Alligator mississippiensis: one gene and its partner. The protein of the gene in region 1 purifies or fractionates together with the protein of each later gene. This does not show direct contact. Links are inferred from orthologs where the notes say so. Each region holds a gene or a part of one and is shown on either strand. Other genes may lie near its edges.

The links.
Region 2: the proteins of RNF19A (region 1) and SOD1 purify together in Homo sapiens (affinity purification with western blotting, with the first as the bait; 3 studies listed by BioGRID). This does not show direct contact. The link is inferred for Alligator mississippiensis from reciprocal best matches to the Homo sapiens genes RNF19A and SOD1.

Annotation. Positions count from the first base shown.
Region 1 is NC_081826.1:38,625,208-38,629,116, forward strand, and holds the start of RNF19A (E3 ubiquitin-protein ligase RNF19A), read left to right. Parts: upstream 1-748; 5' UTR 749-937; intron 938-946; exon of another isoform or gene 947-1,396; intron 1,397-3,333; exon of another isoform or gene 3,334-3,449; intron 3,450-3,909. UniProt on the Homo sapiens protein: E3 ubiquitin-protein ligase which accepts ubiquitin from E2 ubiquitin-conjugating enzymes UBE2L3 and UBE2L6 in the form of a thioester and then directly transfers the ubiquitin to targeted substrates, such as SNCAIP or CASR.
Region 2 is NC_081824.1:290,751,155-290,755,063, forward strand, and holds the start of SOD1 (superoxide dismutase [Cu-Zn]), read left to right. Parts: upstream 1-1,105; 5' UTR 1,106-1,163; coding exon 1,164-1,238; intron 1,239-3,339; coding exon 3,340-3,433; intron 3,434-3,909. UniProt on the Homo sapiens protein: Destroys radicals which are normally produced within the cells and which are toxic to biological systems.

The DNA of each region.
Region 1 (3,909 bases):
GCCAAGTTTGCCGATGACACCAAACTCTGGGGTAAAGCGTCCACACCTGAGGACAGGAGGGTGATCCAGGCAGATCTGGACAGACTCATGAAGTGGGCGGATGAGAACATGGTGGTGTTCAATGCTGAAAAATGCAAGGTTCTCCACCGTGGGAGGAAAAACCTGCAGCATGCTTATAGGCTCGGCTGCTGGGCATGAAAGAAGGTACACGAGCAAAAGAAGAGATAACAGGAGCAGCAGGGCAAGGGGAAGGGGAAGGGGAAGGGGCAAGCTGAGGAGTGTAGGAAACCGCAGATGATTAATTTTGTGGCTGAAAGTTGGAGCCAGAGAAGAGGCAATTACAGCCAAAGAAACAAAGGAAAGCGGCGGAGTGAATCAGGGGTTTGGCAGCCGGGACAGAGGACGACAGGTTTTCCAATGGGGCCGGACTGACGGGGACATGAAGCGTCCCACGGACACCGGCTCTTTATTCATCTGTTGTAAAGCACTAAGACGAAGCGAAGGAAGGGCACGACCAGCCGGGCCGGGTGACTCCTAACCAGCCTCGAGCAGCGCTGCCCGCTCCCGGGCTTCCCCGGCTCGGCGGCCCCGAGGGCGCGCGCGGGGGCGGGGGCATCGCGCGGGGCATCCCCAGCCTGGGCCGCGAGGGGGGAACGCGGGGGGAGGGGCGAGGGGACGCCCCGAGCCCGCGACGTGACGCGGCCCCGCCCCGCCCCGCCCCGCCCCCGGCCGTTGGTGCGGGCGTTGAGCGGCCGTTGGAGGCGGCCTTGCAGCGCAGTGCGTGTGAGCTCAGCGCGTCGCAGCTCGGGAAGACGCCGACCGCCCCCGGCCCGGCCCGGCCCTGCCCTGCCTCGCCTCGCCCCGCTCCTCCCCGCCCTCACACAGGCGAGTCCTGCCCGGGGCCGGGCCCAGCGGGGTGGCCGCGGCGGCGGCATAGGTGAGGTACCTGGACGGGCGCCCCCTCCGCCAACGGGCCCGGGCCGCTGAGGGGAGCGGAGCGCGGGGCAGGGGCCGGCGGCTCCTCACATTGCTGGAGGGTGAAGTCATCGCGCCTATTGTCTCCCCGCGGCAGCGGCCCAGCGAGCCGAGCCCGGCCCGGCCCGGCCCGGCCCTCCTCCCCCCCCGGGGGCTGGGAGAAGAGTTGAGCGCGGGCCCCGCTCCCCGGCGGCAGCGCACTCGTGCGGGGGGGTCGGGCCCCGCGCCCTCGGCGGAGGCTGTAGCCGCGCCGGAGTCGCGCAGTGATTTGTGCAGGGTGTGGCGGCGGGGGTGGGGGCGACGGGCCAGGCAACCAGCCCCGAGACCGGTGTGTGCCCGGGGCCCCCCACCTTCAGTGCAGGACGAGGGGCCGGGCCCCTCCTTCCTCTCTCCGCCCCCCTCCAAGCCGCGGGCTCGGACTGTGGAGGAATGCGGCTTTCCCGGGCTGAGAAATCAAAGTTGGGGGCCGCGGTGTTTATCCAGGCTCTCCTGCCTTTATTACCATGTGGCCAGACGGCCGGCTGTGGCTTTTAACCACCCCTCGGGGTTGATTAGCGGTTTCTGTTTCCTCAAAATGCTGGGTTATTCACCAAGGGGAAGGTGAAAAAGGAGAAGGGTATTTATGTAATCAGGGAGTTGCAGGATTGAATTCTGCCACGGATCAGAGCCTCATGTTCTCTGAATTTATTTCCACCCGTCTTCCACATTTTTTATTTTGTAATGGTAGTGGAAGGGCTGGACTTAAGGTATCCCGTGACCTGTTTCTCACTTTGCCTTTGGCGAAGGCAGGTTTTTAGTTAGGAATGAAAGGTTCTAATATGGCTTTTTTTGTACATCTGACTTGTGACTCAAACCTGAGGGATTCAGACTGGCTTGTAAATCAGAAATCATGTGGACTAGCAGAATTCATTTGCATGTATGAAAGTGACAGGCAATGGGGAGCTGTTTGCTGAAATGCGACTGTATGGAACTGTGAGAAGCAGTTTGAAGCAAGTGTGAATTTGTTGAGCAGTAGAGAAAGCATTTATGTATTTGACGCTTGCATTTCATGAGCATTAGGTCTCTTTTGCAGTTAACTGAGACTGGAAAATGAAAATAAACAAGCCCGTTTCACTTTCTTTTGCCATAACAGTAATTCTGTTGCTCTTTGGAAATGAACTATTCCAGAAAAAGGCCTGCATTAAGAAACAAAACAAAATGCCCCCACACAATTTTTCTTGACGTCAGAGAAACCTGCATACTTTAAAACTCCATTTTTGGATAAAATACAAATGTTTAATGTGTTTTTTCTAAATTATCTGAAACTCCAGTGCATACTCATGTTCTGCTTATTCTCGACAATGTTTAGATTTGAAGAATGGATGATCTGTTTGGCTTTTTTTTTTTTAATCTTAAAAGCAGAAATTTAAATCTCTGGACATTGTGTGCTTTTTTGGACAGTTTGATGGGAAATAGTAGAAGTTTTTACATACAAGAGTTAACAGAACTCTTAAATTCCTAGTCAGTGATGTCGGAAGGAGAGAAGGTATTTGACAGAAGAGTTTTGTGTGCCTGTATGATGCAGACGGGTTTTGGCCTCTGGGTTAACCAGTGAAGCAGCTTAACCATCCTAGCTAGGGATTCCTAGATGAAGTTAGTGTGTGTATGGTGAGTCAGTGGTAAGATTCGTAGTTTTATGTGATTTGTATTATGCTATGGCAAGTGCAGAAAACTTAACGTTTTCCAGTATAAGGCAGGTAGTGATGAGTTTCGGAAACTATAATATAGACTGTTCTCTTCATATTATTTTTTCAGCAGATTGTTTTCCTTTCATACAAATGTTTATCTTTTCCCCCCAATTAGTCTTACAGCGTTCATAAATATTTTTTTTTTTTGTATCCTAGCTAGAAGGGCAGGATGACAATCTTTTCCTAGACTATTGAATCCTGCTTTGAGGGTTCTGATGAGCAGCTTTGAACTCCCAAGTGCAGCAGCTACTTTTCTGCACCCATGTTGTCCTGCGGTCAAGGACATTGCCCCTATTATGTGGTTGGTTTACTGTGGTCTGTGGTTGGAGGTCCATAAATTACTTGCTGAATTATAATGCAATGTCCTGTTGATTAGCCACCAGATCTAGCAGAAGAAATTTTAATAATTGTCTAATACCCTGTTTTAGTCATACTTGGCACATTTAAGTTTCAAAGTTTTTGGTCTGATTCATAGTTTCTAGAGGAGCCTGTTCAAATTGATCCTTAGGGTTAATAAGTTTTTAGAGGACCAGTGCTAATGTTTGTGCTTATGTTGTTTTACTCATAAGAAAGTTAAATTCTGTTTTTTCTCTCTGTTCATTTGTTTCATCTGTATTTTGTCACTGACAAGATGTGCAACTGACTGAACTGACACGCACACAGCTTCAAGAGGCCGAGAATGATATTAAGAGATCGTCTTACTAGATGCACACAAATTATACGCAGAAGTAGACTTCAACCAGGAAGGTAATGAGACAGTTTGAGTTTGCTGTTATAATAATGGACTATTTGTACATATTTTATTTGTTCTTGTAGGGTATGAAAATACCTAGAAAAATACACATTTTCTAGTATATTTTGGTAAGAGGTGTTTCTTTGAATCATACATATTGATAATCATAAGCTGTATCTGTAATTTGTCCTGTTGGTAGTCTTCAGTGTTTGCTTTTCAATCTAAGGGGAAAACTTTTTGAGAGCGCTAAATTTCAGGTATAACGTTTTAATCTTATGAACAGATTAGGTTTCCCATGCTCTGCTATATAGAAAACTAAAAATACAAAAATAGAAATAAAATTCTGTAAATGAAATAAATATTAATCAGTTATCACAGCTGTTCAACTTTGAGTGGCGGGGGGCTGCACCTGTGCCAGGCCTACACTGCATGGGCTGCCTTCCATGCTGTCTAGTGCCATGCTGCACTGTGCAG
Region 2 (3,909 bases), on another chromosome or scaffold:
GCCGGAGCACGTAAATTGATGAGTTCTGGCAGCGTTGTACGTCATGTGTATCAGCGGCGCAGCGTACCTTTGTGCTGAGAAAATGGCAGCAGTGCTCTTTGAACACGTTCAATATGCTTTAGTTCAAAGCACCCTGTCGTTTTTCTCAGCACAGGGATATCCTATGCCTCTGATATATGCAGCACGTGGGCATCTTTAATTAGCACAGCTTGCTCATTAAAAGCACCCAGCACCCCGTTGGGAGCACGTGTGAAAATGCCCAGCCAGTGCTGTTACATTTGGAGTAAAAAGCAGCTGGGGTTTCAGGCATCCTGCTCCTGTTTCTGCCTCCCTGATTTGAAGCTCAAACAGTCGCTGCAGATAGGCACTGTGAATTGGGGCTTAAATAGCATTTGACACCTGTGCCTGGCATGCTGCATTGCTGTGTACATGAGCAGCGGTAACCATGTTGCATAATCCTCAGCCTCCATCCAGCAAATTCTTACTCGCCTTTACTCACTACTGTCTGGTTGCCTGAGAGGTGAGGTGGGCCCAGGTTCGTTAGAGTAGGCACAGCATCTGTGGCATATTTGAACAGAGGTAACAGTCATAGCCACGGAGTGCTGCAGCTTGGGATGGCTGCCCCAGCCCTAACGCCCAAGATGAAGCCTGCAGAGCTGTGCTTAGTCAGACCTGGCAGGGGTGAACTAAAGGTGGCAAGAGCATGTCTAGCTATGAGCAACCATCCCCCTCGGGGCTGAGGAGACAAAGGCAGGTACTTTTGCAGCCCTGGGACGCGCACGCAGCACGCTATGCTCACGCATGCGCACTGCTGCGCCCAGGGCGAAAAAGGCGGAGGGAAGGAGCTAAGGGCGGAAGGACCTCGCCCCCTCCCAAGATCCAGAACGAGGTCTTTCCCCAGCACCTCAGAGCAGGAGCAGCGTTGCGGCCGCCGATTGGTGCGCCAGCAGGGCTCCGCCTTTTGATTGGCGGGTGGGCGCGGCTGCTGTTTCCTGATTGGCTGCGAGGGAGGGGTGGGATAGAGGAGGCGGTGCGAGCGGGGAGGAGCAGCACCGTGATTGGCTGGAGGGTGCCGGGCGGATATAAAAGGAGTGGCGCAGGGGCAGGAACACGCCAGTGCGCGTTTCTTCGCAGTGTAGTTAAGCTGCTTGGCGCGGGGGAACATGGCGGCGCTGAAGGCTGTGTGTGTGCTGCGCGGGGACGGGCCCGTGTCCGGCGTCGTCAATTTCGAGCAGAAGGCAAGGGCTGGACCCCGCGCTCCCACCCCGGGGCTGACGGCGGGTGTTACGTAAGCTGCGCGGGAGGTGATAGGTCAGGCTGGAAAGTGCTGAGTCATGCGAGGGGGTGGGCACGTGTGTCCGCGTTTCTCGCGATTTAACCCGGGCCGGGGTCCTGGGATCCCCGCTCTGCCTGGTGAGGGGTGGTAGGGGAGAAGAGGCAGCAGCTGGAGCCAGGAAAGAGCTGGGTGCTGGGGCTGGCCCCGCAGTCACTTGCTTTGATATTATATTGTTATTGATTAAAAAGTAATATGGTTAGTATTGCTATCAATCTGATGCTGCTGCCACTAATGCTAATAGCTGTGAGCCAGATCCAACCTAGGCAGTGGTGCCAGCCAGCCTACAGTAAGTGGCAGCAGTGCCAACTCTGCTCCCCTGTTGCCACAATTCTAAGCCTGCTGGGCTGGGTGGCAGGGTGGGCACTGCTCCCCTACACCCTTGCTTCAGTTTAGAGACTAGCACAATGCCTGAAGCCAGGGTGTGGAAAATTGTGGTCTCGGAGCTGTAGCAGCAGGTGGTCTGAGCAGCCTGTCAGTGCCTGATGTGCCTAGTCATGGGTGTGGAGCCGTCCTCCTCTGCCCCGGCTTGAAAGCAGTGAGCTGTGCGTAAGGGGTGTGGGGGAATGCTGCAGTAAGGTGCTGCTGCATGTGGTTTTGGATAGATAAGGCCAAAATGGGTTTTTAAGGGCTCTTAACTAAGATCCTTGTTGGGTTAAATCTAGGAGAGTGCGGAAGGGAAGTACAAACATGAGTTTGTCATTAGTGTGTTTAACTTGTGATGTATCTTGAAGAGTATACACATGGTGTACAAAGGTGTGGCCTTTGATAAAGGTCTTAGTGTTGCTGTGAAAGATGAGGGCTGACTAGCTAAGCTGCAGCTTCCTAGAAGAGGACCTAGGAGTTGGAGTGGATAATAAGCTGAATGAGGCAACACTGACCTTGTTGCAGAGAAGGCTAATGGTATACTAGGCTGTATTAGTAGGAGCATTGCCAGCAGATTGAGGGACGTGACTATTCTCCCTTTATTAGACTAACTCAAATAGAATAAAGATATCAGACTTGCCTGAAGAACCCTGTTCCCCTCTGTTTGGCACCGGTGAGGCTACATCTGGAATACTGTGTCCAGTTTTGGAGCCCCCACTACAGAAACGATGTGGATAAATTGGAGACAGTCCAGCGGAGGGCAGTGAAAATGGTGAGGGGGTTAGGGGTGTTCCTTGTATCTAACCTTAAGTTTCTCACCAGGAGGATAGTGAAGCAGTGGAACAGGTTACCCAAAGGTTGTAGACTCTACATTCTTGGAGGTTTTTAAGTCCCGAGTGGACAAAGCTTTGGCTGGGATCTAGTTGGGAATGGTCCTGTTTTGAGCAGGGGGTTGGACTACGTGACCTCCTTAAGTCCTTTCCAACCCAAATTTGCTATGATTCTGTGACACTGCAGTAGTTCTATAGAAGAAAATTTGGGTGGGGGGAACCCTCTGAGGTTATGGAAGTAAATGGGTCAAAAGGCAGCTGTGTGCACACTTGCAGTCTGAATCTTGATGCTAGAGTCATGTGTTCAGACCAGTGATTCTCGACCAGGATGCTGTGGCACCCTAGGGTGACTTGATCCTTTTGGAAGCTAGCACTGCTGGGTATGCAGACATGCTGTGCATGATAAATTCCCATTTGAAATCTCTGGGTTATAATATTAAACATTTGGACCTGTTCTGGTGCAAAGAACATGGGAAGACCACAAGAATTTTTTTTTTTTTTCTGTAGTAACCTCCCCCCCCCCCCCCCCCCCAAAAAAAAAAAAAAACCCAACAAAAAAACAAGAAGTTTTCCAAGGAGTCTAAAAAAAGCTTGAAAACTGGTTTAGATGGAATGAGTCTGCCTTGGGGGTGTGACAGCACACAACCATATACTGCATTAGCTGCAGTCCTATACAAACCACAGGACTGAAGAATGCATTCTCAATCAGGAAGTCTCAATCAAAGCTTTACTCCTTTGTATGCTTATTTACAATTCTGTAATGAGTTAATAACAAGCTAGAAATTTTATTTTCTTCTTTTTGTTTTGAAGGATAGTGGACCAGTAAAGCTGTCAGGAAGCATTCAAGGTTTGAGTGATGGAAAACATGGCTTCCATGTTCATGAATTTGGAGACAACACTAATGGTACAGTTTTCATCCAGGGTCTCAATGTAGCACTATCATAATGCAGTTTGGCTACTAGCTTATTGTATTTGATGCAGCCACTTTTATTTTTTGGACACTGGTTAATAGACAGCTGTGGTAATGCTTCTCACTTCAATCACATTCCTTTCATGCATAAAACCTATGTATGTAAAAACAAAGAAAGGAGTTGAAATGATCTCAGCATTGTCTTGCTGTTTACCAGCAGGAAGTGATGGCATAGATGGCAACATGTCTGAGCTACTGTTATTCCAGCATGCAGTTGTAAACCTGATGCGTGGGCCATAAGAGGCTGTTTAATACTATGGCTGTGGCACCTGCCAGCAAGTTAAGCTAAACACAAATGAGAACCTATTTCTTGGATAAACTCTAAATGGCTCCTTTCAAAACTTAAGTTAAGATTTGACTCTTGGTGGAGCTTGGCTTTTTCAATTGTGATCTAGGGCAGTGTGAAGAAG